Linked DNA regions of Diceros bicornis minor. The protein of the gene in region 2 interacts with the protein of the main gene of each other region in a pairwise test. Links are inferred from orthologs where the notes say so. Each region holds a gene or a part of one and is shown on either strand. Other genes may lie near its edges.

Region 1 (7,537 bases), on a different chromosome or scaffold from region 2:
CCAAGCATGCAGAAGCCTGGGCGCAGGGGAGGGGGGAATAATTATTTCTTTCCTAGCCGTAAAAAATGACCGGTCTAGCATGCCCTTGCCTTTTTTGCCAGGGCCCAAAAAACAAGTCAAACCTGATAGTTAATATTTTAATGCTTAAAAAACACTTGTAGATCTGATCGACTCCCGTCCGGTAAACCCTCGGCCATTAGCACCGAATCACGGCTGCTGAACAGTGGGGGCCTTATTTCAAATTGCTATCTCGAGTTACCGAAAAAGAAAAAACAAAAGTGGTGCGTGTCAATAAGGGGTAGAGGGACCAAACCAGAGAAGGTGCAAAATGACAATCCCAGGAAATCGGGGACAAACGTCTAGAGATTCGTAATCCAGGCTTTTTAGAGGAGGGTTGGAACGGGGGAGGGGGTTTCAGGGCGAGGGCAGGGGGCACAGGCCGATCGGGGAAGGGGATGAGCCTTACTGACAAATGTCAGGGCTGGGAGCGGAACGCAAACTAAGGGAAGAGCCCCCGGAACCTGGCACCCCGCGCTGCCCTGGGGGCCCCAAAGTTGAGTGGCCCGCGATCAGCAGCCCATTCCCTTGAAGGAGAGCCGCTCTTGTCCTCCCATAACTTCTACACACCTTTAGGCCCCGCACACCCTGGTCTCTGGCCCCCCACGGCCCACTGAAGGCCTTCTCGGAAGCTGGCGAGCGCAGACCCCACTATAAACCCCAAGGCACCAAAATTCCCTAGAAATACATCGAGTCCGCCCGGAGGAGGCCATCCTTGCTACACACCAACCAAGAACCCCGGCCACAGGGGCCTCCCCACTCAGCGCGGCCGGGGAGAGCCCGCAGTCTGCGCGCCGGGCAGCCGAGCCCGCCACGGCGCCCAGGGCGCTCGCGGCCTGCGGGGTTGCCAAAGAAAAGCAAGCCCAGAGCCCCCAAGTTTGCAGTAGGTCCAGTCTGGAAAGCGTGACCTTCCAGAGGGAAAGGGGAGGAGGGCTGAGAGCCAGCGATCGCCACTAGAAAGCTAAATAAATAACCGGCCGAAAGAGAAAGCCGAAGCGCTTCTCCAGGGCCCCGGGCTCCGCGCGCTCGCTAGTTCTCAAGTCCAACGCCTGGAGGAAAATCACTCTCTACTCGGCGCGTCGGGCGCAGCCCAGCCACTCAGTCCCCGGCAGCGGCAGCCAAGGGGTTAACCGAGGAAAGCCCAAGACGCCACAGAAGAGGGAAGGAAGAGAGAGAGGGAGAGAGAGAGAAAAGAAAGAGCCACACAGTCATCTTCCCAGGGTGAAGAAACAAACAACTCCACCAAAGGGGGAGGGGGGAATCAGAGCGCAAAAAAAAGTTCTTCTGATTTTTTTCCCCCAACAAAGCCGTGCTTGGAAAGAAAGATCTCCCCAACATCACGAGGCAGCAAACTGAAAGCAAGAACATGGCGAAGTGCAAACAAATCCAGTCCACAAAAGGCAGAAAAGTTTGGAGAGTTTCGGGCTGCCTGGGCCACGAGCGGGGGAGGGGAGGCGGGGAGGGGAGGAGGCGGGGAGGGGAGGGGAGGGGAGGGGGAGGAGGGGGCAGGGCAGGGGCCGCATGCGGGGCTGGGCAGGCGGGCCGCGGGCGGGGGCCGGGCGCGGAGGCACTTACGGTTCGGGCGGTGGGCGAGAGCGATCCGTTGGGGAGGTAGGGGCTCGTCAGGTCGGGGATCATGATGAAGGGGTAGCCGGGATACGGTGGCCCCTTAAAGAGCCCTCCATCTTGCCTCTTGGCCGCTAACATGGCGGGGCGGCGAGGGGACGGCAGCGGCCGCGCGGAGCGGGAGAGAGCGAGAAGAAACTTTTTAGAAAGTGCCCCAAGTGGCCGGGCGCCCCGGCCCGGGCGGCGCACGGCCGGGCCGAGCGGGGCGCGGGGCCGGGGCGCGCGGGGCGGCGGGCCCGGGGGGCAGCTCCGGGCGGCTGCGGGGCGCGCGGGGCGTACTCACCTTCTTCCAAACTTTCCCGGGATTTATCTCGGAAACTTTCGGAGCGAGGCGGAGGCCGTCTTTCCGCCTTCCCGGAGGGGTGGAGGTGGGGAGGGCGAGGGGCAAACGCCACGCAGAGGGGGAAGAAGGGGGAGAAAAAGAAATCAGCGGGGTGGGGGGATTTGGGGGGGAGAGAAAAGCAGGGTTACAAGTTTTTGCAATGGTGGCACCGCACGCACACGCCGCCCGCCCGGCCCCGCGGCGCCCCGCCGCCGCCCCCGGCCCGGATTTCTCCCCTCGAAGCAACATTTGCCAAGCCCAGGAAATAGATTAAAAACCCCACCAGCCCGAGGGGCTTTTCCTACCTCGGAATCGGAGGAGCTGTTTTGATTCGTTTCTGATTCATTGACTAGAGACGATTTGACATCAGCTAAATCCCTCTCTGCCGAGGAGTTTTCGGAGCTCTTCTCCTCCTGCTCGCCCTCGTCTTTGAAGGAAATCAGTTCGTCGTTGGCGCCTAGGTCATCTCCTCCACCGCCGTTCAGCTGCGGCATTTTTTTCACCCACCAGCAGCAATTTTGGAAGAAAAATGAAGGAGGAAGAAAAGCCAAAAAAAAAAAATACCCCCAAAAAGTTTTGCCCCCCCCGAAAAAAATTATTGCAAGAAAAAGACGAGTCCAAGGTGAACTTTTTTTTCTGCTTTGGGGTCTTTTTCTCCTGGGGAGGGGAAAGAGGGAGGAGGGGAGGGGAAGGGGGGGGAGATCTTCTGCACGCGTGAGTTTGGGTTTCTTTTTTCTCTCGTTCCCAAGGATCCGATCAATGTGCAAAAAAATAATAAATAAAAAAGGGGGGTAAAAAAACACACCACCAACAACAAGAAGTCAGATATAAAGAGCAAAGGGGGGGGAAGCCGAAGATACAGGAGGAGCTCGTGCCGCTCGGATTTGAGTGAGTTGAAGTTAGACTGAGAGCTTTTCAGTTCAAAGGCGGCGCTGATTGACAGATAGAAAAAGGGGGATCGAAATCCGGAGGAACGGAGTAGTCTGGGAGCGGAGATTATTGACAGGGCGAGAGGAACACACTCGCTTAATGAGATGCCGGGGGGCGGGGCCGTCCCGGTGACGTGCGCATAATAAACAGCCGGGGTGGGCGGGGCGGGGGCGGCTAACAATGATCCTTTCGGGCGCCGGGAGAGGGAGGAGGGAGAGGAGGAGGAGGAGGACAGGGGCGGGGGGACGAGGGGGAGAGAGACGGAGGGAGGAGAGTGCAGGGGGAGCGGCCTGCGCTGAGTGTGTGCGAGCCCGGGAGTCTGGGCGAGGGGACCGGGACTCGCTCCGGGAGGGGGCGGCTTCAGAAAGACAATGCGGAGTGGGAGAGGAGGGGAAGGGGTGGCGACCGAGGCAGGAATCCGAGCCGGGGAAGGCGGAAGGAAAGCCCACTTGGGGGGCGGGGATGGGGAGAGGCCCAGAAAAAGTGCACTTTGGAAATATTAGAAATAAGTCTTAAGGAAGGGGAAAAGGAGAGTAGGGGCGGGGGATGCTTAGTGGTTAATCCAGCAGTGAAATCAGCCACCCTTGGGCGGGATGGAACAGAAGTGGTCAAGAAGAAAGAGCAACCCTCCACTTTCAGAGAGCTTGGGGAAGTGGAGGGCTGGGCAAAGTTCCTGGTCATCTGCAGTGAAAGAAACTATTAACCCACAAGATCTTCCCTCCCCTTCTTGTTTATTAATAGTGAATCATTTCATTAAATCTTCAATCTCACTAGACTAAATATGCCAAGATGACTTTTATCCAAAAACAATCAAATACTGTCATGTTTGTCAAAGGCATTAAAAATATCCTTAAGGAAAAATACATGATTTCTTTCAGTGTAGAGTGTTGTTTGTTTTTTTTTTTTTTTTTTTACTAACGTTGGTGGTGGTAGGAAATGAGCGAGGATTCAAAGTCCTTTCAGACTTTGGAGGTAAAAAGTTTGGGCGTTAACACCGCCAGGGAAAATAAAACTGAAAGTTCACCGACCCCTGGGATCAGCGGTGCTGGAGTCTTTCTCGAAGGGGGTCTGAGATGAAATCCCCGAAAGACTGACCACATGATGAGGGTGTAGATGGCTCCGGCAGGAAATTGCTAACCGAGCTGATGCTGGGAGACCTCAAGGAGGAGGTGGAAAACCTGGGCTGTGAGGCAGGTATTTTGTTGATTTTTAGGCACTCGCCTGGGGGGCAAGTTGATTTGCTACAAAATGGGGAACAGAATTATGTGAAAGGGTAAAAGGCCTGGCTCCCAAAACACAATGTCCCTGGATGAAGGAGCAAGAACATTCATTTTCTTGCAAATATCCAATGAGAAGTGGACTGGAAACTACCACATGAAAAGTGGATAAAAATAATCAGAAAAAAGAAATCAATAGAAATTAGCAAATTGTCTATTAGGAACAGTGTTGGTCCTGAGTCCATGATGTACTAAATTATCCCACCCATGCCTAAAAAAATCTCACCTGCCTTTCAGCTGGCCCATCAGCACCTATGGTTTCCAAAAGAAAGGAAATTTACCATGTAATATTTAGAGAGTTTGGGGTTTCAGCAAAACTGTTTTATAGGCTAAGGTCTCAGAAAGAAGACTACTAAAAATAATGATACCAAGATTGACAAGGCCAGTGAATTCCCCTGCACTGGAAAAAATTCACAACCACATTTGCACATTAAAGAGAAAGATACAGGCAAAATAAAAATGGGGGGGGGGCACAGAGGAGATTCACTGTAACTCCCAACTTTAATATTAATCGGAAAATCAGAAGTAGAGCGAGAAAGAGTCTGAAAAGTAAAACAAATGTGTACATTTACTCAGACAGGATTGCATAGGATACAAAGCACAAGGCTAATTAGTCTCAGCAGGTAGAACTAACCTTCAGACTTCATAAATAAATAAGGCAGGCACAGTTTCTAAGAGGGAGAGTGGAGACAGAAAGGGGATTATTTCAAGACACCAAGTAAAAACATGAAGAATGAAATGCTTCACTGTTAAATCCATGTACAAATGGATTTAACAGTTTCCCTTTTGTGGATCTTTTCACTCAGTTGCCTTTAGATTTACACGTTTGGTGAATGCCCATAGCTTGTCATACTTGCTAATTGTCACCTGTATACTTAGTGTGCCTGAGACTGTCTGTGTACAGTGTACACTTTCCTAAGGCCCGTTTTAAGGGCTTATTTACTTAAACTGGAACACATTTATAGTAACTCAGTTTTACGGCAATTTCTTTGTCCTGTGCGGTGGTGTTTTTTTTAATCTAACCCTGATCTGAATTAAGCTGGATAATGAGGTCTTCTCTGTCCTTCATAGGACTACCTGGATAATAAAAGCTCATAAACAGATGGAATTGAAACTGTAGAGAGTGTACTTATTGCTTTTAATGTCCTGGTCTGCATTTTTATCATATGTAAATACTAAGGGCTTTCTTCCTAATGATTAGTAACCTCATCCATTTTGGCGTATCCTTATATTTCTCATTCAAAGGGAACTCGAATCTTTCCTTCTTTAAATCTCTGATTTAATTAAGCAATTAAAAGTTATTCCATGATAGCAAACATGCCACATTTAATTTTGCTGCTTTGTGCAGTAAAAAGGCTTGGGGAGACCAGCAAGATCTCAGAGGGTCAATAACCCCTGAGTCTCTGAAATGGCTTCAGGTGATGCCAAGATGTGGGGGACCGGGGGGAGGGTGTGAAACTGAAATTGGCAAAAAACAAGGTACTATAATATTAAACAACAACAAAAAGTCAGGTTGGCCCGCAATGTGAACGTGTAATTTGAAGATTTGGTGTGAAATTTTAAACAACAGTTGGCTTGTGTCCAGGTGTTGAGGCTACTTCTCTTTCTAGATACTGATGACTCCTGGTTTATGACCAAGAGTTCTGCCCAAATAGCAGAGGCTCTACAACAAAGGGAGGAAGCCAGACCAGTCCTGACTTTAGCCTGAGCCAAGGGGTTTTGCATATTGGGAAGTGGGCAGGATGGGGGAGAAGCTGTATCTGCTTCCCTTGGAGCCCATTCCTGGGGCCAGCCCAGGTCTCGAACTCTCCTCCTCATCCTCTGCCCTTCTGCTTCTTCACTTCTGTTTTCTCCTCCCCTTCAGCCGTCCCTCTATTAAATCTCTGTGGACCTGTGTTGATATCAGTGTACAACTTATTTTACCTTAAAAATTAAGTGAGTGGGTTATCTCTCCCAGGGGTACTTCCTTGTTCATCCCTATTGAAGAGTGAGAAGAAGTGTCGGTTTATATAAATCACCTTTCAGGCATCGGTTCCCCATGGGGCACTTATGGCAGAGTGGTGGGTGCCCTCTGAAATATGGGAGGTTGCTTGATGGGGACAGCAGAAATAGGCCGGCGGTAGCCCACGTCACCTGTGGCCCCTTAGTCTTGTCTCACCTGGCAAGTGAGGTAATTGGTCTTGATATTTTCTTAGGTCTCTTTTAACATTCAGAGAGTCCTTGATTCCGTAGATTCAGCCCATACCCCAGTTATGCTAAGAAGTTCACCGGCACACCAGCAAAGGGGACGAGCCATATTGGAGGTTTGGCTTTGGAACTTAGGGAAAACAAGGATAGTCTGCTCAGATTCAACAGAAGTAGGGAATACATGTTGACAACCATATTCGGCTCCCCCGATCGCTTGGCAAGATTCTGCTAAATTACCCTTGACAGTGATGCGTACGTGTGTGTATATGTGTTCCGTATGATTTTTCTTTAAAGAGCTGGGCTCCAAGATGGATGATCTGTTACCCACTGTGTTGGTCTTATCTATGCAGGGAGTGTGCTGACTGAAGGAAGCCAAAAAAAGAATCTGAAAATATAAGGAAGCTATGAAATGGGGAAATGTTTAGAAGCCAAAGTCCTGATTCCACTGTGAAATTTTCTGTTTGCTTTTTGTTCTGCGTGGGTGATGGTTCCTTATTTGGACCTTCAGGAAAGCAACTCCCTTAGCCAACATAGGAACACTAAAAATTGGACCCCTGAGAGTTTTCAATTTTAGCGGGAGGAAGGGGTAGGCAAAAAGGGCCCACTTCACAGGCATCCTTTTATTTTCCCCCATTGACTCTGTCAAAAGATGTGGAAAGGCACACAGCCTCTTCTGGAAACCCTGAGGAACAGGGTTTTTTTTTTCTCAAGTGCCTGGCTGGATCACTTTGCTTCAGCTAATGACAGGTCTGGGTAATAAAGTGACAATAATGCCTGATGATCTAAGGGTTAATGGGGAGATGTATGCATTTGTACTGGATTTCATCACCTGCCTTCATAAGCTGATCACTACCGCGATAGGCATTTGTGACAGGAGCAGCCTTTCGAAAGACATCAATCCTCCATAAATATCCCTTTCTTATTGATAAGATGTCTTTTAACCCTAATAGTAATGGAAGAAGGCCAATAAATGAAACATTTACTGCATAACTTGCCTTATTTTGGGGTGGTGTACGATTCCTTTCTAGCTGTCTCTAGAAGATGTTTTCAGCCTAATTTGCTCCCTAGAAATTTTGCTTGCTACAGTTATACGGCTATGACGTTTTATTGCCTGAAGCCAAGTCTGCATAAGAACTTT
Region 2 (7,994 bases):
TGAGTCACCCTGGACTCCCTGCTGGCCAGTGCAGGGGAAGGACAAGGTCTCTCTGAAGGGTGTATCCCTCTATACCTCACCAGAATCCAAGGAGGCTTTGGGGGGGTCTGTAGGGTAGGAAGAGGTAGCCTGGAGCCGGGCTCTTCTCTTCTGTCTTTCCCCCTCCTCACTCTTGTCTTGCATCATTGCATATTTGGAGATGACCTCATCCAGCCGGCTCATAGCCAAGGTCCGATTTTCCCGTAGGCGCCGGGCTAGGGTGGGATCTGACAGTGCAGGGTCAAAGCCTATGTGGGAAGATATAAAGTGAAAGTACTCAGCCCAAACCCTAGAAGGGACTAGAGAGATGCCTCCTCCACCACACACCTGACATATAATGGGCACCTCACTAATCCCTACCTGGCCTATAGTCATCCGTGAGGTGACAGCCAAAGTTGTAAATGAGATCGAGGTGGCGTCGCTCCTGCAACCTGACGCCCACATCTCGGAAGGCATCCTGAGCCATGAGCTGGAGCTGCTGCCGGGGGAGGCCGAGGCTGTGCCGAGCAGCTGCCTTCTCCACAGCCCGCAGCACATCTCCATAGTCAGGGAAGGTATCGGGCCCTGGCTTGTTGATGAGCCGCTCGATGCGCCTGTTAACCTCTGGGTAGCGGGTGCCCCGATAGGGGATGCGCTGCTCTATGACCCGGCCCGTCAGTGAAGAGCAGTCTTTCAGCTCACACAGCCTCCCAAAGAGGCGGATCAGCTTCCGCTTCAACCTCGCCTCTTGCAGGTACGTGGAGTCGGGGTCGTCCAATTCTGACAGATCCAATTCCTTTTCCTGCAGCCGCCGGATCTCTGCCACGTAGAGCGCTAGCAGCTGCTCCAAGCGCTGGATCTGCCGCCGGGAACCATGGGTCCTTGGGGCCTCAGCAGCAGTAGTCTCGGCATTCGCGGGGTCCGAGGTGGGGTCTGTGGGAGGGCTATTCCCAGAGGGCTCGCTAGAGGTGTTGGCAGCAGGGGCCAGGTTCAGCTTCTTCTTGGCTGAGTGGGCCTTGAGAACAGTGCAGAGCTCATTAATGTAGACATAGAGCTTAGCCGGCCGGCTCTTGGCCCGAGACAGGACCCGAGAGAGGATGTTGCAGAACTCCGCTGAGGCCAAAAACAGAGAGTGGGCCCGCTGCTGCCGGTTATAGAGAAATGGGACCACCTCAGGGTGGTCTGCCGTCTGCGTCTTACACAGTTCAAGGAACTAGAGGGTTCAGGGGAAGAAGGGAGTGGGGAAGAGACAAGGGAAGGGATCAAGAGAAAGGTTAGTGGGGAAGAAAGGACAGGAGAGCCAGTCAGCCATCCCCCTCCCTGGGGTACAAGAAGAATCTTCTCCCCTAAAGCTCACCTCTTCAAACAGCTTCTCATTCTCCAACTTGTAGCATTTCTTGCCGCCCGAACTACTGCTTCCTCTGGCCCTATGGGGCTGGGAGGAGCCAGGGGCTTCTGCCCGGGGTGAGGCCGGACTGGGGGGTGGGTGGGAGGGCCCTGGCTGAGCAGCTGCTTCATCTTCGTCATCATCATCCAGCACGATGATGCTGTTAGCGGTGGCCATGGGGGATCAAATCCCCAGGAGGGAGGAAGTGTTGGGGATTTCGGAATTCCTGCTGGAAGGGGGTGGGGCCTCAGAAAGAGCCCCTCCAGCACAGCCCCATCCCTTCATCTCACACATTTTCCAATCTTCTTGGGTTTCAGTAACACCCGGCCCTGCCCAACAGTCTCCTCACTGCCTATCTTGAGCAACCATTGGTACCATATGCTTTCTGGCCGTTTACTACGGGAGCCCCACCCCCAGCTCCACCCCTCAAGTCGATATCCGGTCTTTCTGTTGCGTTTCCCCATTATTTGTCATAGTTGGCAAGTTGATTCCTCCCAACCCTGGACCACCCTCCCCACTGCACTCCAGATTTCCTTGACATCCCCTTGCACAGACACCACACCCCCGTCGGCACCACCTCACGTGTTTTCCCCCTTTCGCTCTCAGACACGTCAAATCCACACCCTCACCCCGTCCTGAAGGATCACCCCAACTCCTAGACTCTCTCAGGAGAGGGAGGTTCCCTCCCAAAAATCCACTCCCCTTTCTCCTACCTGAATTATCTCCATATTCTACCCTCTGATAGGTCTCCTCAAACCGGGGCGTTAGGTTGGAGATATTTCACCCCAAGTCCCCTCCCTCTCACCCCACCCTAATTTTCCCCATTCTCTCTCTGTGACCTGTAACCGACTGTGATCACCGCACTGGGCTCTCCCGATTCCCCTCGGATCCCAACCCTGGGTCCAGCCCCTCCCCCCTGGATGAGCTTCCCGCCAAGTCCCCCTCCCCCAGTTCAGCCCCCGGCGCCCCACTCCCCTTCAGAGATAGGAAGGAAGGTACCACAGCTTGCCCCTCAGACTCAGCGCCCGGGACTCCCCAATACCTCTCCCTCGACATTCCCGCCCCTGCCTTCGCTCCCCGCACGGTCCGGCCCCCACCTCAGAAACGGTCTCTCGAGGCGACCCTCTCCGCTGATCTCAGAACCTCGCATGGTTCCCTCCGCCTTCCTTCCCCCTCCCACCGCAGGCCCTACTCTGGACCGGAAGTCGCGGAGCTTCCGCCTACAGGTACCCGACCGCGGCCATATTGTCGTACGGAACCCAGCCGCTCCCGCCCCCCGGGCCGGAGGTGACGGTAGGCCCGTCCCCCGAGCGCCTCCCGTGCCGCCCACCTAGTCTGCGGCTCCCTTCCGGACCTGTAGGGGGCGGAGTCGTCCTCGCAGGGAGTCCCGGTGTACGTGGGGGCCGCCATTTTGCCGTACGGCATTGGCTGAGCTAGGACTTGGGCGCGCAGCCAGCGGAGCTATTTTCACCCAGTGCTTCTGCGACTCCGCCAATCAGAAACTTCCTGCTTCCGGCCCGGCTGCCAGCGAGTTGCGTGCGGGGAGCGCTGAGCCCCGTTTCCAAGCAGGCGGGGAACGGAACTGGACAGCTAAGGAATTGGGCCCTCCAAGGCTACACAGGGGTTCGCGGAAGGGCAGGAGTCGCTTAAAAGGGAAATAACCTTTTCCTTCCGCCAGGCTATAACCTTTCCTTTCCTTCCGGCTCTGCCTTCCTACGGTCAGGTACCCACTTCCACGGCTTAACCGACTGCGCCTGCCCCTTCCCTTCTACGGGCTGCGCGCTCCCTTGCCGCTGTCCAGCAGCTACTTCTCCGTTCAGGTGCCTACATCTCCCGATCGTGAAATCATAACACACGCATGCAAACGCGCTATACAATGTGTTGTTATTATTATTGCTATTGTTGTTGACGTCTTTTCAAGCTCCTCCACAGAACTAACGACCAACAAGCCGGTGGGACGTAGGTGGGTCTCTGTCCTTTTCTCAGGGGTTTCCCCGAGGCATAGGCGGTGATAACCAAGAGGCCGTGCTTTGTCCAGGAACTCCAGGACCTGAGTCCAAAAGATGTGGGACGGGGGCTTTGAGGAGAATCTGTGCAAATTGCCGCTGTGAGACGAAATCAGGCTCGTAGAATACCTCGGGTCTCGTCTCCTCTTTCTCTGGGAGAGCTGAGGGAAGAACGAAGAGAGAAGAAACCGACTTTGATGCCTGCCTCGCCCGCACCCCCACCCCGCCCAGCTTTAGAGAGGCTGGGAGGACTCGTGAAGGCAAGGCTGGGTCCAAAGGTGAGCGTATGGGGAAACCGGAAAGGTTAACACGGTCCTAATCGCTGAGATTCCCACCTCCTGCATCCTTGCGCATTCCTAAGTGGTGAGCATCTTGCCACTTTCTAGGATCACAGAGGCTCTTACATCCCTAAGCTCTCAGAGTCCCAGAACCTCAAACCCTCCCTTCCATTAAAGAATCCCACACCACTTCTCTCCAGTCGTCTAAGCCTACAGTCTTTAAGTTGGGGAACATGAAAACTCTCCAAAGGGTATTTGGGCTTAGAAGATAAAAGGGATTTAATTTCCAGATCCTCAATTTTCCCAGAATTGGTCTTCCTGAATAAACGCCAGCAGCAGAAGTTCTTCTTCTTCCTTTTCCCTTTTACAATAGACTGTCTCCCCCCACCCCACCCCCACCCCACCCCCACCCCCCAAAAAATATCCTTCTCAACCATGAAATCTCCTGGGGATAATCTTACCTTGTTTTTTTTTTTTTTTTTTTTTTGAGGAAGATCAGCCCTGAGCTAATATCTGATGCCAATCTTCCTCTTTTTTGCTGAGGAAGCTTGGCCCTGGGCTAACATCCGTGCCCATCTTCCTCTACTTTATATGGGACACCGCCACAGCACGGCCTGACAAGCAGTGCGTCACTGCTCCCCGGGATCCGAACCTGCGAACCCCGGTCCGCCACAGCAGAGCGCGCACGCTTAACCGCCTGCGGCATTGGGCCGGCCCTTACCTTGTCTTAAATAAAGAGATATGTAGTCTCTTTTATCAAGGCACCGTAAACACCACCTCGACTATCTCATTAAAAATGTACTTTTACTTTTAACAATTACAGAAATGTGTACAATCTTTATGCTATTTGATCAGTTCTGTTCTCATAATAATTGTAATGATAACCTAGAAGAAATTTTTTTGAAAACTAGAGTCTCATGGTTACAAGAAAGAAAAACGTTTTTCGTTTCAATTAATATATATATATACAGGAAAGTGTGATAGATGGGTCAGTGAAGACTTTCAAGATAAAAGCATAAAATTGTCTGTGGGGAGGTGGAATGGTAATAGAAGTTCAAGGAGAAAAGAGAATGATGAAAGAAGAAAAGAAATCATTCCCAATTGTTAAGAGCTTATTTGTGTATTTTTAAATGGGTGGTGGTGGGTATCAAGTCATTCTGATATTTCAGTTTCCCTGGACATTCAAAAGGGTGGTTTAATTGTTTTATTTTAAATTATGAATATTTTCAATATGCCAGGAATTACATCCTTGAAACAATTTTAATTTATGATGAAAAATTTTTGATACTTACTTAAAAATACTTGAAAAGTACAAACTTTTTCAAAATTATTTCCTGGAGTATAGGTGCAGAATTTTTTTTGGTGAGGGAGACTAGCCCTAAGCTAACATCTGTTGCCAATCTTCCTCTTTTTGCTGGAGGAAGATTGTCGCTGAGCTAACATCTTGGCAATCCTCCTCTATTTTGTATGTGGGATGCCACCATGGCATGGCTTGATGAGTGGTGAGTAGGTCCACGCCCAGGATCCGAATCCACGAACCCTGGGCTGCCGAATCAGAGTGCCCAAACTTAACCACTATGCCACTAGGCCGGCCCCTAGGTGCAGAAATCTTAAGACAGCTGCTCTAAGCTATCCAAGTGTCCCCTCCACAGCTCCTAATAGTCCCATTTCTTCCCGTCTCCCCTCTCACCTCTGTGGCAGGGAAAGAGGATGTTTATAGGAAAGGTGGTCACAATTCCAGCTCCTCCTCCTTCTGAGGTGTTCCCAGCAGCCAGTCCCCAAACTTTGCCCATTGTAGCGGCCACAGCAGCTTATAAACAGCCTCTAGCATCAGTAGTGTCAGGCTGAGGGCCAGGAAGATAAAGAAGACCTTGTCCAAGGCCTGACAGAGTGGACTCCTGGGAGGAGAGGGCCTCTGGGCAAATGCCAGGAACACATCCTCCTCGTCCACATTGCCCTCCTCCTCTGCCATCCTAACCCACAGTGTAACTGCTGGCTGGACCAGGGAGGCTGAGATAGAAGCCCTTGCTCAGCAATGCCAGGATTAAGAGGCATGGTGGCAGCAAGTCCTGCACCGGCTCAGCTTGACCTTAATTCCGCCACCCAAGAGAGAAAAAGGAGAGTAGAGCCTCTGAGCCTTTGGAACAATCATATAATCATCCAGTGCAATGTGAATGGTCTGGACTAAATGATTCCCAGTCTGTCCAGCTTTACCATCCTATAAGTCTGTGTTTTGGAAACTGAAGGCCCAACATAGAGGCATGCAAGCTGGAACTGCTCAGGTCATTGTGGGTCTCTAGGCTCAAGGCTCAAGGTCTTGGGCCCCTACAGATAGAGGATGAGCAAGCAGACCTAGTACGCTACTGTGAGTCCCTGTCAGTCAAGGATCTAAAGCCCCTTCCAGCTTTATAGTGGAGGGGAGGTGGAAGAGGTTGGGGTTTTGGGAGGGGCTCTCCTAACCAAGGTGGGTGGGGATGAGCAGCAGTGCCTGGAGTCCACGCAGGCGCAGGCATAGTACTCCCCCAGGTCTGCAGGCCCGGGAAGTTGTGGAGCTGAAACCCAGAGTGCTCTCTTTCTAACTTCCGGTCCCTGTGGGGTAAGAGGATGATCATAATTGGACTGTAAGAGTCCAGCGGGAGGTTTTTAAAGAGAGAAAGACTGATTGGTCAGCAGGGTGAGGGTGTGTGATTGGAACTTAACTGTTGGGGCAATAATAAGGAAGAGTGAAGTTTTGCGTGTGTGTGTGTCTGTGTGTGTGTGTGTGGAGGAGGCGGGGGGAGGGAATTCTTTTTTTGTTTGTTTGTTTTGGTAAGGAAGATCAGCTCTGAGCTAACATCCATGCCAATCCTCCTCTTTTTGCCGAGGAAGACTGGCCCTGGGCTAACATCTGTGCCCATCTTCCTCTACTTTATATGAGATGCCACCACAGCATGATCTGACAAGCGGTGCATCGGTGGGGGCCCAGGACCCGAACCGGGGCCACCAGCAGCAGAGTATGAGCACTTAACCGCTATGCCACGGGGCCGGACCAGGGGGAAGGGAGTTCTGATCTGAGAGTTGCTGGTGGGAAATGTCCAGGAGGTTGTCTGTGGGGCAAGGCTTGAAGGCCGTTTCTTTCTTTTTCTTTCTTTCTTTTTTTTTTTTTTGGTGAGGAAGATTGGCCCTGAGCTACCATCTGTTGCCAATCCTCTTCTTTTTGCTTGAAGAAGATTGTCCCTGAACTAACATCTGTGCCAATCTTCCTCTATTTTGTATGTGGGGCGCCACCACAGCATGGTTTGACGAGTGGTGTGTAGGTCCTTCCCTAGGATCTGAACCCAAGAACCCCGGGCCACTGAAGTGGAGCACCCGAACTTAACCACTGTGCCACTGGGCCAGCCCCTGAAGGCCTTTTATTGACCCTGTTCACCAGGCACTGGCCTGAAGGTCCATGTGAAATTTAATAAAGGGAAATCTCATTTAAAATGGAGTCAGGAGGCCAGATGGGGGAGCTCCCAGTAGTATCATTGGAGGTCAATTACAGAAAAGATAATCAATTACAGACTCTAACAAAAGGAAGTCAATAGGAAAGAATCTTCAATTATAGGCATAAATGTACATTGCATCCCAAACAGAAATCCACTACCCCCAGCAACTTAGCCAGTGAGAAGCCATCACCACCCTGAACTCTTGCTTTTCTCCAATGGACTTTCCTTCAAAACAACCCCTCTCAATTTTCTCCTTTTTCTCTATAAAATATCTTTCCTCTGCCTTGTTTGTTGGATTTGCCTATGGTCCACCACAGCATGCACATCCTGGATAGCAATTCTTTGACTATTCTTGAATAAGCTCGTTTTGCTGGTAAAATAACCGGCTGTTTCATTTTTAAGGTTACATCTGTGAAGGAAATCAAAGCCCATATGGAGAACTGGGCCCCCAGGATAAGTAGTGGTGGTGGTAGGGTAGACAGTGAAAGAAGTGGTGTGTATGGTAATGGACCTCATACCTAAACTTCATTTTGACCTTAATAGGAAGACCTTGTTTACCCCAAAAAGGTACAAACGATGTCACAATTTTGCTTAGAGTCAACTCATCTTATCATTTGCTGCTGCCACAGGTTGTCGCATAACGAGTCAAAATATTTGGATCAGGGTCCTAACTAATCATTTATTAGTTGTGTTAAATTAATTAAACAAGGAGGCCATTAGACTGAGGAGGCTCTAATGCCACAGCGACCAACGTAAGCAAACCAAACCTAAACCTATAAATGCCTCAAGGTTATGAAATCAAAACACTAAAGAGAACCAATCACAAACAGCCAACCAG
Region 3 (7,125 bases), on a different chromosome or scaffold from region 2:
AGCTGCTTTCGAATAAGAATAAGAAACGAACAGGCAACGTTGACAGTTGCTTCTCTCATATCAAGTAACAAAGCTATACCAGGAGGCAAGGCTGCTTGTGTAAGCCAGCAGAATCCTGATGGAAGTGTCCTGTCCACCCACCCACCCACTTACTGAGCACATGCCGTATCAGGGAACTGCCAGGTTCCATGAACACAGGGTGGAAAAGGCAAAGTCCTCGACTGCCCAAGGCTCAGTTTAGTGGGGAAGACATCTAAGCATAGTAACTTTCTTAAAATAAGTCTGTGCTAACCACAGCCTTAGATGCAGTCAAAACACATTTCAAGAAACTGATAAAAAAGCCACAGGAAGGAATAATTCCAAGTATGGAGAACACACCTGTTTCCTTGCATCTTCCAGACTGGCATCAGGACAAATGACAACATCTCGGCTACACTGTACTGGATCTTTTCCAGCCAGACCTGCAATGGTGACCTTAATCTAAGAAAAAGACACCATCATGATATTTAAGAATACAGAAACATAAATTTAGAGTAACACTTCACAGCTGCCCTGTGTTTTAAAATAACTTGGCAGGAAATACTGCAACAAAACCATGCTGACTTTAGCTAATAAGTTGGCTAAAGATATTTAATAACTAGGTCTGTCCCAGTCTGCCCGGGAGAGGACTGGTTTACAGATGCTGCCTCTGCGCCCTCTCTGGTTAGTGTCCTTTCTCCCACAAGTGTTCTGGTTTGGGCAATAAAATATATGATCATCCTATTAATAATCCATCTTGCAAAGTTACTGCTGCCATTTAAACCTTATGGTATTTTCTTAAAGCAGAATTGCAAGCTAAGAAAATATACTACTTTTTCCTCACAAAAAAGTTGACAGTACCAAGAGCCAGTACTGGACAAACTGGCATTTCCCTACACTGCTGATGGGCCACACATTGGTACCCTGGAGAGTCATCTGACAAAATCTAGCAATGCCAATTATGGACCATCCTTTGGCCTAGCAATTCCATTTTTAAGCAGAGAGCCTGGAAAAACTTCCACAAGTTTGCACATGGCAACTCGGACAAGAATATTACAGTATTGTAATATATTACATTGTAACGTAATACAGTATTGTAATACACAGTGTAGTGAAACAATGTAACAGAAGAATGGACTGTGGGCATGTTCATACAGTGCAACACTAAACAGCAATTTTAAATAAACAAACTGGATCTATATGTATCTTCACTTATGAGAACCAGAGGAACGCTGGGTTAACAGACTCCGGGGCCAGACTGCCAGGGCCTGAGTACTGCCTCTTCTACTTACTAACTCTACAGTGTGGACACTTTATTTGGTGTCTCTGTGCCTCAGTTTCTTCAACCATAAAATGAAATGGCAATAACTCATAGGGTTGCTGTAAAATTTAAACAAGTTTATATAAGTGCTTAGAATGACACTAGTACGTGCTATTGTTCACTATGGTTACATACACATATACAGATATATAATATAGACATGCAAAATGAGAACTACACGCTAATACTACTTTAAAGACATGCATGGAATGGATACACTTCAGTGTGAGGATGGCAGTTATCTCTGGGGCCAGAAGGAGAAAAGGATTGGGGAAATTTACAAAGAGGGCTTTGCAACACTTTATTTCTTTAAAGCATTTGTTCTTCAAGAAATAGGTCTGAAAGAAACATGAGAAAATGTTAACAAGTATTAAATGCAGACAGTGAATAAATAAGTAATTATTATTATATAGTCTCCATACTTTTGTGTACATTTGAAATATTTCATAAAGTACACTGACTACGATTTTATTCAAAATGATTTTTAAAAATCCAAGAATGTTTTAAAAGAGAGGAGGGCTAGAAAACGTTGAGGGACTTACTCCAGCTCGTCTCATGACATCTACAGGGATGACGGTCTCCATCTCCTCTGCCCCTTTAGCCAGGATGACCAGAGCTCTTTTTGAAGCCATTTCTATGCTGTACTTTTTAAAGACTTAATAAAAAATAATTAAAAAAAAGATTCTCAAAAAACATTCACTGCAACCCTGGAAAAGCCAAAAATTTTAAGTTTAGGAATATTTTTAAGCAGAGTAACTAAGTGCCTCCTAGAGAAAAGGTTCTGATAGGCAAACACAACTGAATATGAAAAATGCATTTTAGGTTAATATTGGCTTACGTAGCACAATTTCAAATGCTGTCTTTTTGAGATGAAAACACAGTAAGGTTGTTAATGCGTGTTAGTGTTGTTTAGATTTTCTTTTACCTTGTTTTTTTAAAATTCAATTTTTAATAATATATTGTAAATGAGGTTTTCTAAAACACAAGTTGCATTTCACACAATGCGGGGAGACAGCCTTTCTTTGAAGTACTATTTCATAGGGATGCGACTGAACTAAATTTCACGGGCAAAAAACTAAATACACAGTTAGCAATTAGCCTGTAAGATTTTTGGAGGGGATTTTTTTTAGTTCCAATAACTATACTAAAAATTTGGAGGGAGTTAACAGTGTTAAATATTTGAACACTGTTTTTTTTAATAATGGAGAGAGATGGGAATCCCCCTAAGTAAAGGCAACCCAACCAAATTCCCTCTCTTTGCACTTAGCTCTCATCGTAAACGAAAGCTGCTAAACCAGGGTCTGAAGAATTTTTAGACTATTTTCTAGAATTGGTGACCATGCAAAATGGATTTTAATAAATCCACTTCAACAATCACAGGTTTAACCAGCAGTTCCAAACTGCTGGGACGCCATGTACACAATTCTGGAAGCTTCAGAGCTGCTGCTACGCTGGCAAGAGAAAGCCGCACTCGTACAGCCCCGCGCGGGGTCGGGGACCCGCCTGAGGGTGGCCCCCTCCCAAGCCCGGCGCCCCCTCGACCCACAGGGCCACCGCCTGCGCACGCGCACGCTCCCCTAGCCCCGACCCGAACCTAGCCTCGCCTCCCACAGACGCGGGCCCTCGTCTTCTGCGCCGGGACTGGGAAACCAGAAGCGGCCTACACGCAGACTCACGCAAGCACGCACGCGTACCGCACTGCGCAGACGCAAGCCGCCTGGTTTCTCATCCCCCCACACTGCGCAGACGCGCGCTGCCCCGCCTCCCTCATGCCCCCAAAGTGCGCAGACTCGCGCCGCTCGGCAAGGCTCTTCAGTGCCGCATTGCGCAGACGCGCGCTGTCCAAGCGCTCGTTGCCCCCCGCCCCCCGCACTGCGCGGGCGCATGCCGCTCGCATCCGTGACGTCACATCCGGACGAACCCACCTCGGAGAACCGCGGGGGACGGCCTGCCATTGGGCCTCCCGATTGTGCGCTTAGGATGGTTCCAGTTGGAACACTCAGCCCCACGAGAATCCCGTGGACTCACGCATCCTCACGAAATCTCCCCCCCGCGAGTGGCACGGCCCGGCCTGCCCCCGGCGCCCGCGGGATTTACCCCGTTTTTTTTTTTTGCCGCGGCCCAGTTGCGCAATGCGCGTCTCGAGAGTGGGGTGGCTTGCTGTCGACGTGCGTTTTCACGTATTGGAGTTGTTCTTTCACGCTTCCTCTGTGCACTTCTGTCTCCCTTTGCATTGTTCCTCTTTCCTCGTCACCTTCCCGCGTCGCCTCCGCTCTGTTAGGACTCTTTCTCCAAGGTCCTCCGGCCTTATCTCGCCCACGCCCGTCCCTCGTTTTTGTGAGCCTCATCAGTTACGCGCGGTAATTGCACGTGCATTCGTTTCTCAGAGTTGTTTTTTTAAGGATCTCAGTGCTGCTTCTGCGTCCAGTTTTAGCGCAGTGCTGAGCACATAGGTCTAACAAGTACTTGATTAATTAAGTTCACCGAAATTATAATCTCAAATTATATTTTTAAAAGTATTTGAATATTGATACTTATCACTAGTTTCAGAAACCAAAGTGATAAGTGTTACATTGAACAGACGGGCTCCTAGCCCTGTCCCCATCCAGTTCCATCCCCACCCCCTACAGATAACATTATTAGTTTCTTGGGCATCTTTCCAGTATTTCTTTATGTAAGTACAAGCACACACAAATATGTACTATTATGTTCCTTCTTTCTCATAAAAATATAGCAGTCTGTATACATTGTTCTGCACTTGCCCTCCTGCCGCCGCCACCACCTTGTTAAGTGAATATCTTGGAGATCTTTTCATATCAAAAAGAACTTCCTCCCCCCCCCCATAGATACTATGGTATTGTAGGTATATTCCATACTTTACTTACCGGTACCCTACCGATAACGGGTTATTTCCAGTCACTTTCTGTACAGACAGCACTGTGCTGAATGACATTCATCTGTCCTTGTGCAGATATACCTGGAGGGAAAATTCCCAGAAGTGGGAAATACATTTGAGCAACTCCATACAAGTTGAATCACTGAGCACTCTCACCGGTAACACATGAGACTAGTATTTTACAGACGTCAAGTGTTTTTAAAGTTTCAATTTAGATATTAAAAACACGTTTATTTTCAAGAAATAATGTTATTTTTGTTGGTTTACAAAGTACTTTCGTATATCTGATGGGATCCTTACAATGGTGGTGAGAGCGGTTTTTATTTAATTTTAATAATTGTAAATTGATTCATTTATGCAATAATCTGCACTTGTGCAAAAAATTTAAATGTCTTTAATCATTTCCCATTTTAAGAAGACAACGTTTTGGGAGTCTGGAATGACTTCACCCTTGGCTGTTTGCAAAGGAAGCAGGCAAAAGCCACCCCTTTTTAGCTTTGAAAGAGCATGGGAAATAGGAGGGCCAGAGAGGGAGAGGAGGCAAGTGGTCAGATATGTATTTCAAGAACCAAAGAGGGATTTAGGAAAAGCAAGAGAAGACAGGCTGTTTTGCTCTAGTCCTCACAATAAACTCTTGTAAGGAAACAACCATGCTGGTGGCCTGCTGCAGCATGAGACAGCCACAGCAAAATAAAAATGGCAAGACTGATGGTTCAGCAGCAAAAGAGAGAGAGAACGAACCTGAGTTAACACTCCTGAGACATCTGCATTACCATCGAGATCTGAAATGGACCTGTCAGCATTAATTTTTATCAAATGAATCCATTGCACACGGTTTTAAAAACTCAAATGTTACTTATGGTAGATTGGATTATTTTTCAGAAATATTCACTCTTTCCTCTTCCGCCTGCGGGAGTGGAGGGTACTCCTGCCCTTTGACTTTGGGTTTGTCATCCTTGTTTTGGCTAATGAGATGTTAACAGACATGACCTGATCAAAGCCTTGAAAAACACTGACATGATGATTAGGCTTGCTCTCTTGTACTTTTGCATTGCCATCTTGAAAAGGAAGAGCTTTCCCCCAGGGAAGTTGCTGCTGCCCTTTCAGCCTGGGTTTCAGAACTGACACGTGGAACAGAGCTGCCCCAGTCAACCTGTACCCGTACCTGAAGCAGATCATCACAGCCTAAAGGCAGACTGAAGTACTCAGATTTTGTTACACAGCAGTAGCTCACTGATACAGCATTAAAAGGCTCATAATGAAAGACAGCAGCCTTCTAACTCAGTACTTTCTACCCCTCAGCCCTGCTCTCCAGAGGCAAATATTTTCAACTCTTTAAAGTATTTCTTACGGTAATTATCTCAGTATTTTTCAACAATATGCTAATTTTTAAACAATATGCTAATGCTGTACATAAAAATATTTTTCATCTGTTGGTTTTAGACTTTATATATTGACTTCCTGGCAGGTATTAACATAATTTTTATTTCACAGATGCAGAGGTTGAGGTCCAGAAGAGTGAAATGACTGTATAAGGTCCTGCAGAGTCTTGGTCAAATTCAGATATTCTGATGCCAAATTTCACACTCTACCCACCATAGATTCTATCAGTATTGCTTATTAATAAGTCAGCAACACTCATGACAGTCTCTTAACTTTAGAGTTTATGTCTGTTTCTCATCACACATTTATAGAACAAAGCCAAAAATTTAAACCATTTACCAGAAAACACTGACACTTCCTAGTTCAGTCCCTTATTTCCAGGTAGAACCACCCCATTCTGATCCACTACATTTTTAATTCAATATTTGACAAGTCTTTAGGCACTGTGGGAAGTACAAACTAAAAGACTATTTTCAAGGAGCTTAAAATCATCAGTTTCCGGCAGCAGTTGGAACATTTAATTAAGAGATGCTGTTCTGCTTTGTAGAGCTCACAGTCCAGCAATGGAGAAATGCTGTTGATAATGTCAGTGAAGGAACACAGGACATGCCACCTCCAGATATGCCACCTTAGCATACTGATTATTTTGAGTTAGAGGAATTTGGAAAACAGCGGGTTCAAGAAAGGCACTCTGATTCCCATTTTTTTTCTTCCTGAAAGCAGAAGATGAAACTTGCATGTGAGAACTGCCCTCCCTATGCCAGGAGGAAAGAAACATTCTTATCACCAGAGAGGGAGTTGAGTCTGGCAGAATTTGTACAAAGAGACCTTGTTAAAGTAACTCGCATCATCCTTTAGTTTCTCCATTTTATTTTAGATATTTTTCCACAATTGCCACTTTTTGTTCAACCCAGTATATAAGCATTTGGGTTTTGCCACTTTGAGGCTTTATTTCCTTCTAAAGGCTCCCAGGTCATGGTAAAACATATTAAATATATTTATATGCTTTTCTCCTGTTAATCTTTTTTATGTCAATTTAATTCTCAGGCCCAGCCAGAGACCCTAGGAAGGTAGAGGTAAAGTTTTTGCCTCCCCTACATTAGCAACAGCAGCCCCATGGCCCTTCTGATCCTGGTCCCAAAAAGCAACTCTGCCTAGAATTAGCCTGATCACAATAAATAGCAAAGAAACTGCTGCCAGATTATTAATTATTTTTTATGGGTCAGATATCTTGCATTTCATCTTATTAAGTAACACTCGTTTTCTATGAATATATCCTTTTATTTCATTGATAGCAATTATTTTAGCATTTTCTTTTGTTTAGTTATTTATTGTCTGTCTCTCCTCAATCCTGTGAACTCCATGATAGGACCTTCCTGTCTTGGTCACTGGAGAATCCCTAACATCTATTGCAGTCCCTGGCACATAGCAGGTGCTCAATAAATACTTCCTACCCTAATTTCACCCTCTAGGATGTTCCTTCCTCTCGTATAGATTAATACTTCTC
Region 4 (7,348 bases), on a different chromosome or scaffold from region 2:
ATTGTAGATTGCTGTGAAGGGGACTCCTGCATTTTGGGGGGTTGAGGTGGGAGTGAGGGAAGGGTGATTGTAGAAGGGTTGAGTACCCCTGTGAGGCTAAGATTCTGGAAATTCACCTTCTTATTTTTCCTCTTAGGAGATACTAACTTGCAGTGTAGCTTGTTATGCTAAGAAAAGGAAAAAGATTTCTTTACAGTAAGAACAGCAAAGAGCTTGGTGGTAATTATTCTAGAAATTCACATAGGCCCTATTCTAACTGTGCCTATACCGTATTGAAACTATCATCCTGGGCTGGGCTATGGCAATACTTCTTCAGAGAAGCAAACAACTCTTCACCTAACTCTTTCACATGGGAGCCAAAAGGTATACATGTCCCCTAGGTCACTGTGTTTTAGATTTTTTTCTTGAGGATCTTAAAATATATAGACATCTCAACTGAGGTCCTTCTCTATAGAATTTAATATTGGAGACCATGGAGAAGAACAACCAGAATTGCCTTTTCAGTTTGCTGTTTACATAATCATCCAATTACACAGTAATCCCAACAACCTCGTGAAGTTGGCTGGTATTGTTATCCAGTCTGTGACAGATGACACAACGAATGGCTCTGTGTAGCAGAGGGAGGTCCTGTGCTCCTCCCTAGGAGATGACACCTCTTCTTTGGGAGGATCATTTTCCCGTGTCCTGTACCATTCACATGCATCAGAAAGCATTCTTTCTGTGCATGGCCTACTTAACCCTAATGCTATTCATATTTTTCTTCAGGACAGTGTATTTTTTTTTTTTTTTACTTTTGTAAAATATAGATAACATAAAATTTACCATTGTAACCATTTTAAGTGTACAGTTCAGTGGCATTAAGTAACTATCAAGACATCCATCTCCAGAACTTTTTCATCATCCCAAACAGAAACTCTGTCCCTCTTAAACACTGACTCCCCATTCCTCCCTCTCCTCAGACCCTGGTAACCTCTATTCTACTTTCCATTTCTACAAATCTGACTATTTTAGGTACCACATATAAGTGGAATCATACAATATGTGTCCTTTTGTGTCTGGTTTATTTCATTTAGTATACTATGCTCAAGGTTCATCCATGTTGTAGTATATATCAGAATTCCATTCCTTTTTAAGGCTGAATAATACTCCATTGTATGAATATACCATATTTTGTTTATCCATTCATCTATCGATGGACGTTTGGGTTGTTCCTACACTTTGGCTGTTGTGAATGATGCTGCTGTGAACGTTGGTGTACAGATACATCTTTGAGTCTCTGCTTTCAGTTCTTGTAGGTGTATATCTAGAAGTAGAATTCTGGATCCTATGGTAATTCTATGTTTAATTTTATGAGGAACCACCATACTGTTTTTCCATAGTGGCTACACCATTTTACATTCTCACCAGCAATGTGGAAGGGTTCCAATTTCTCTGTTCTCTGCATCCTCACCAACATTTGTTATTTTCCGTTTTGTTTCGTTTGGTTTGGTTTGGATAATAGCCATCCTAATAGGTGTGAAATGGTATCTCATTGCGGCTTTGATTTGCATTTCCCTAATGGTTAGTGATGTTGACCATCTCTTTGTGTGCTTATTGGGCATTTATATATCTTTGGAGAAATGTCTACTCAAGTCCTTTGCCCCCCCCTTTTTTTTTTTGGTGAGGAAGATTGGCCCTGAGCTAACATCTGCCAACCTCCTCGTTTTGCCGAGGAAGACTGGCCCTGGGCTAACATCCATCCCCATCTTCCTCCACTTTATATGGGACGCCGCCACAGCATGGCTTATCAAGCAGTGTGTCGGTGCCCCCCTGGGATCCGAACCGGCAGACCCCGGGCCGCCGCAGCGGAGAGCGTGCACTTAACTGCTTGCGCCACAGGGCCGGCCCCCCTTTGCCCATTTTTTAATGGAGTTATTTGGGTTTTTTGTTGTTGTTGAGTTGTAAGAGTTCTTTATACATCCTGAATATTAATCACTTATCAGGGATTTGCAAATATTTTTTCCCATTCTGTGGGTTGCTTTTTCCCTTTCTTAATAGTGACCTTTGATGTAAAAAAGTTTTTTTTTTTTTTGTGAGGAAGATCGGCCCTGAGCTAACATCTGCCAATCCTCCTCTTTTTTTGCTGAGGAAGACTGACCCTGGGCTAACGTCCATGCCCATCTTCCTCCACTTTATATGGGATGCTGCCACAGCATGGCTTGACAAGCAGTGCATCGGTGCACGCCCGGGATCCAAACCAGCGATCCCTGGGCCGTTCAGCGGAGCATGCGCACTTAACCGCTTGTGCCACCAGGCCGGCCCCTAAAAAAGTGTTTAATCTTGATGAAGTCCAGCTTATCTATATTTCTTTTGTTGCCTGTACTTTTGGTGTTACATCCAATAAATCATTGCTAAATCCAATGTCATGGAGTTTCCTCCTTTGTTTTCTTCTAAGAATTTTATAGTTTTAACTCTTAAGTTTCAGTCGCTGATCCATTCTGAGTTAATTTTGTCTATGGTGTGAGATAAGGGCCCAACTTCATCCTTTTGCATGTGGATACTCATGCTATAGTTTTGAAGATACTGTTTAAAACAAAATTTACTGCTTTCTTGGGCATTCTCTAGACAATTTCCAGCAGTGGTGGCTTATTTTGCACTCTTCAGATGTCTGGCTTTCTTTCTTCAACACCCTCATAGGTAGTGGCAGAGGGTGGAGCTAAGGTGCTAATGGGTTGTAACTGTAGACACGTGAACTCTACGTAGACAACTCCCGACTCCAGAGCTCGTCAGTCCTCACAGTGGACACCTGTGTAGGGCAAGAATCCATGTCTTCTCTACATTGTTTTTTTAATTCTCTTGCAAACATAATGAATACAATTATAATTAGTTGTGATTGGTTTAATTGAGCATGGGCTTTTTAAATGGGGCAGCATGCTGGAACTGACCAGGCCATAGCGGGCAGGCTGAAGCTTCTGTGCTCTCCTCATAGACTTTGCTCACAGCATGCATTGCACTTTGTTGAGATGGTTGCTTATGTGTCTGTCTTCCCACTACAGTGTGAACTGGTTATTTCCTTAGTGCCTAGCACAGTGTCCGGCGCAGACGGTTACTAAACAAAACTGAACCAATAGTACTATCTCTTCCTTTCTTCTGAGCCGTGTTGTTGTGCAAAGGCAAAAGATGAGCAGTAAAATCTTGTTTTAATTACACCACCATCTTAACTGCACTGCCAGCTTTATACAATGAAGGATAATGATGATGTTGCTCTGAGTGACGTTTGTTAGATTTTCATAGACTTTCAAAGTTGAGTATTTTATTTTCATTAGAAAAGGAAAGGAGTCAACCATGGCAAATTTTAACTCCCGTCTATTCCTCAAAGAAAATAGAATCTTTCAGGATAAAAGTCTTAAATTAAGAAGCCAAATACTGACTTTTTAAAAAAAACTTCTGTAGTGAAATAACCCTGTTCGTAGAGGTGACCTTACACTGTAGCATTTCAGTACCATGGTTCTGAATATGTGAATACAAGATGCTGTACGTTTTCACCTAGAACAGATGCTAGATTTTTACATGTTTACATTTTCTCTAAGTGAGGAATGTATGAAGATTTCTGCCTTTTATGACTGCACCATAGACTATGAATCAGGGCCCCAAAACTAATTTATTTTAGAGGTCACCTACAATCAGACTTAAATGAAAAGTGTATTTTAGTTTTACTTTTCAGAAATCCCAACTCCTTATTTGGTCAGCTCCCCTCCATATGACTCCTTTCTTTTCCTTAGGAAATATTACATTTCACATCAGGTTAACAGAGAGAAACAAGAAGCCTGGGCAGGTGACTGGGTGGTAGAATCCTGCTTTCCGATGGCCTTCCCTGCCTGTTTCTAGGGCAGTCCTCGCCCTCTCCTGACCCCTTGCCTAGGTTAAAAGAGGCTGCATTGAGAAAGTCAAGAAATGTGAATCATGAATATTCACATATTCACAAGAGTAAATCTAATGCATCAGCAAAGGAGGAGACTCAGTGTTATCCCACTGAGCTGGTTCCCTTCTGCTGTCTCCCTCCCCGTTACTCCCAGGGCTGACTTATATTTAATTGAAGGATAATTTGAATGACAGAAATTAAGGTGTGATTTGGTGTTACCTCAGCTAGTAACATTACTTGCTTTTCCATGTAGACTGAAGAGCCTGTCCTAGTGGCTGCCTTCGTGGTGTCAGGGGCCGGCGGAACACTGCCTTTTTTCCAGCTTTCCTGGGCTTGACCACACCCCCCCCAATTTAAGGAGGCAGCTCTATTAGAAACATTATGGTCTTTGCATCCTCTCGCCACGGAGCAGAGGATTCCCGCAGGTAGTAGGAAAGAGACCACAGACCTTGAGGGAAGCTCACTCAGGACCTATTCTTCACCCAGTCTCTCCGGCAAAGTAGTAAGTGAGGTGTGAGTTTCTGCCTAAAACTTTGCAGTCCATCTTCCTTTTCCCTTTTTTTTCATTTTGTGGAATTAATCGGTAAATTGATGGGGACCTTCAGGATACAAGCGGTTTTCTCTTTCTCTTTCCACATTTTTCTATATTTCCATTCAATAGTTTCATAACGTTTTTCAAAAATACTTCCTAGCCTAGTTCGAATCATCTGAAATCAAGACTATATTTCACTCTTTCCCCTGAAGTATTCTATATTTCAGAATACTTGTCAGAAACTCTGAATTTTGTTCGCATGTTGGAGCAGTTCCAAAGGAATAAAGCTATAGTTAAACACAGAAATTTCCTTCTTTTTTTCTCTTTCCCTCCTAGCAAACCTATTGTTTTACATCTTTTTTCTTTCTTTTTTTCCCTAGCAGCTTAAGGAATTTCTTTTATAGAGAGGACATTGCTACAGGTTTGAATTTTGCAAGCCAAACTAGCCTTTTTGGTGTTTTTCTCTGTCTTGTGACCCACAGTTCTCCAAGGTTCTACCTGCCCTCCAGACTGCAATTGGGACGGGGGAGTCTCCGAGTCGGGGCGCATTTCTTCCGTCCACCGCGAGCAGCCGTGCTGTGGAAAAGCGGGGCTGTGCGTGGCCATTGCCCCCGTGGTTTTACCCAGCAATTCCACTTTGTCGGTGGCTTCTCATCTACTCTTAAAACGCCTCTGTTACCCTCTTTTAAAGTAGCATTTCATGTGGGAGAATTGTTCAAAAAGATGCTGGGTTACCGAGATCCAGGCATTTGAATGTAGGTTTTCCTTATTACCTTTTGGGTAAGTTATCGTTGTTGTTTTTTTTCCATCTCCTGGCCATTTTTTTTCCTACTTCATACCATTACTGGGCAACTGAGAAGAGAGATATTTGTTAAACAACAGGAAATACAGATTCTAAAATGATAAGCCTGGCAGCCTCATTTGATTTGTGAAATGATTGACACTTCGACTGTTTCACTGGCTATGGTTCTGAATTACATCGCCTCCTGTTTACCTAAAGAGAAAACCCTTTGCCTCTGCAGGCATGGGCTCCTCACAGACGGTGACTGGGTGGCCACCACTGCTGTTGAGAGTCTTCCTTACCTGTTGTTCCTGAATGGAGGGAAGGGAGAGCTAATGAGTTAATGTCTGCAAAGTGCTTTGAAGATGAAAAGACCTTTTCATGTGTTCAGCATTGTAGTTATTAATATTAATATTTGAAGAAGCATGCTGCTTTTAATTGTAAATCAACAACTTCCATCCTTGCCAACTCAGTAGTGAAAAAACAAACAGTGAAGGCAGCCACACAAGCCTCTTCCGTCCTGGTTCTGCTGCTGAGGATGTGAGAAGCCCAGAGTCTGATTACAGAGAGGGCGTCTCTGACTTACAGGCTCCTTACTCCAAGGTGCTAGTTGGTAGAGGCGCCCGGAGGTCCAAGAGTAGAGCCTGGCGGAGGGCAAAGGCTGTAGCTCTTCCACATCTGCCTGTCTGTGGCCTTGGGGAACTGGTTGAGAGTGTGGCCCTGGGCCAGTTGCCTGCCTCAGATTATAATGGAGTTCAAAGGCGAGCAGGGGCAGAACTGGAACCAGCACTGTAGCTGGAGTCGGGAAAAGGCATGTGCACTTGGGTTCTATTAGAGATGGGCTTTGTAACTGGGAACAACTTATTTAACATGACTGTGTCTTATTTTCTTCATCTCTAAAATGTGAGTAATGATTTTTGCCTCGCCTATTTCACGAAGATGAGAGAATAGAAGTAAATAGCGTAGAGCTTTGAAGAATAGAAGTGTCAATAGGATTGAGGGACAGTCTGAAGTAATATTGTAAAATTGGGTGTGTGGGTCAGGTGCCCAGGGGAAGGTGAGGCAGAAGGCAAACAAATGAAATAAATGCTATGGAAACAAATAGTTGGCACTGACATGTCTCTCTTTGCGCACAGAGCCTTGATGTACTGCCAAATGTCTTACTGAGAATTCGATTTCTGCTGTACCTCCTGATTTTATTTATTGGTGAACAAATCTGTTTTCCACAGCAACTCTCCTATTCTAATTACCCATTCAAAATTCCCATTTCTGCACCAAACAGCAGAAGGAATGGTTACATTGCAGAAGCTGGGGCATCCTTTCTTCCTCTCTCCTCTTCTCCCCTCCCTCCTTCCTCTCCTCTTCTCTCCCTCTTTCTTTCTTCTTTATGGAAATCAAAAAGTATTTAGTATTTGAGCTAAATAAATGTGGTATGCAGCAATTTAGTGGTATTTGAGGCAAATCTTGTGAATTTCTTCAATCCTGGGGAAACAGATATGAAGGCAACCCATTTTTTGCCTCTTCATCTCCGCTGTCCCTGCTCTTCTGGATATGTGGCTTTAGGGAACTCAATCGTTTAATCTAGATGATTCTCTGGATATAACACCTGGTTTTCTCCACTTCACCTGAGGAAGAGTAATAATCCCTGGCATTTACTGATCACTTGGTGTGTTCCAGGGCCCTTGCGAGGTGCGTTGCACGGACTACTCCATTTAGCCTACAGTGAAGTCTTGGAGGCGAGCACTCTTGCTCTCCCCATGTGACAGATGAGGACTCTGAGGCTTGGTGATGTGAACAACTTAGTTAGTGGTGGGACCTGATTAGAACCAAAGGAATATGAGTCCAGAGCTTGTGACTGGAATTGTGTCTCCTAGGGGCCCCAGTAGCTTTGAGACACTTCACAAATTTAGGCTGGATTTTTCTGCTCAGACTGATGATTTGCTTTATCTGGGAGAATACTATGGATTAGGCCTATTTTCTAAAAGGGAATCTGTGGATTAATTATTCATTGTTAGAAAGATACTGACTCTGAAGAAAGGCCAGAAGGTCCAGTTGAGTGGATGAGTAAATCTCTCCCTCAATCCCTCTTGTGACAAATACTGATTGAATTTCTACTCTGTGCCCACCCTTGCTT

The links. The genes of interacting proteins can lie anywhere in the genome.
Region 1: the proteins of DAXX (region 2) and TCF7L2 interact in binary tests that used the Homo sapiens proteins (3 or more experiments, as listed by UniProt). The link is inferred for Diceros bicornis minor from reciprocal best matches to the Homo sapiens genes DAXX and TCF7L2.
Region 3: the proteins of DAXX (region 2) and PARK7 interact in binary tests that used the Homo sapiens proteins (3 or more experiments, as listed by UniProt). The link is inferred for Diceros bicornis minor from reciprocal best matches to the Homo sapiens genes DAXX and PARK7.
Region 4: the proteins of DAXX (region 2) and ETS1 interact in binary tests that used the Homo sapiens proteins (3 or more experiments, as listed by UniProt). The link is inferred for Diceros bicornis minor from reciprocal best matches to the Homo sapiens genes DAXX and ETS1.

Annotation. Positions count from the first base shown.
Region 1 is NC_080745.1:76,493,967-76,501,503, reverse strand, and holds the start of TCF7L2 (transcription factor 7-like 2), read right to left. Parts: upstream 3,007-7,537; 5' UTR 2,500-3,006; coding exon 2,311-2,499; intron 2,034-2,310; coding exon 1,967-2,033; intron 1,758-1,966; coding exon 1,633-1,757; intron 1-1,632. UniProt on the Homo sapiens protein: Participates in the Wnt signaling pathway and modulates MYC expression by binding to its promoter in a sequence-specific manner. Acts as a repressor in the absence of CTNNB1, and as activator in its presence.
Region 2 is NC_080753.1:31,138,985-31,146,978, reverse strand, and holds the start of DAXX (death domain-associated protein 6), read right to left. Parts: upstream 3,012-7,994; 5' UTR 2,802-3,011; intron 2,598-2,801; exon of another isoform or gene 2,503-2,597; intron 1,635-2,502; exon of another isoform or gene 1,632-1,634; 5' UTR 1,583-1,631; coding exon 1,376-1,582; intron 1,232-1,375; coding exon 400-1,231; intron 288-399; coding exon 76-287; intron 1-75. Other genes in the region: SMIM40 (small integral membrane protein 40), read right to left, coding at 5,419-5,661. UniProt on the Homo sapiens protein: Transcription corepressor known to repress transcriptional potential of several sumoylated transcription factors. Down-regulates basal and activated transcription.
Region 3 is NC_080752.1:27,789,681-27,796,805, reverse strand, and holds the start of PARK7 (Parkinson disease protein 7), read right to left. Parts: upstream 3,007-7,125; 5' UTR 2,934-3,006; intron 1,995-2,933; 5' UTR 1,972-1,994; coding exon 1,882-1,971; intron 481-1,881; coding exon 379-480; intron 1-378. UniProt on the Homo sapiens protein: Multifunctional protein with controversial molecular function which plays an important role in cell protection against oxidative stress and cell death acting as oxidative stress sensor and redox-sensitive chaperone and protease.
Region 4 is NC_080746.1:7,434,178-7,441,525, forward strand, and holds the start of ETS1 (protein C-ets-1), read left to right. Parts: upstream 1-4,342; 5' UTR 4,343-4,403; intron 4,404-7,348. UniProt on the Homo sapiens protein: Transcription factor. Directly controls the expression of cytokine and chemokine genes in a wide variety of different cellular contexts. May control the differentiation, survival and proliferation of lymphoid cells.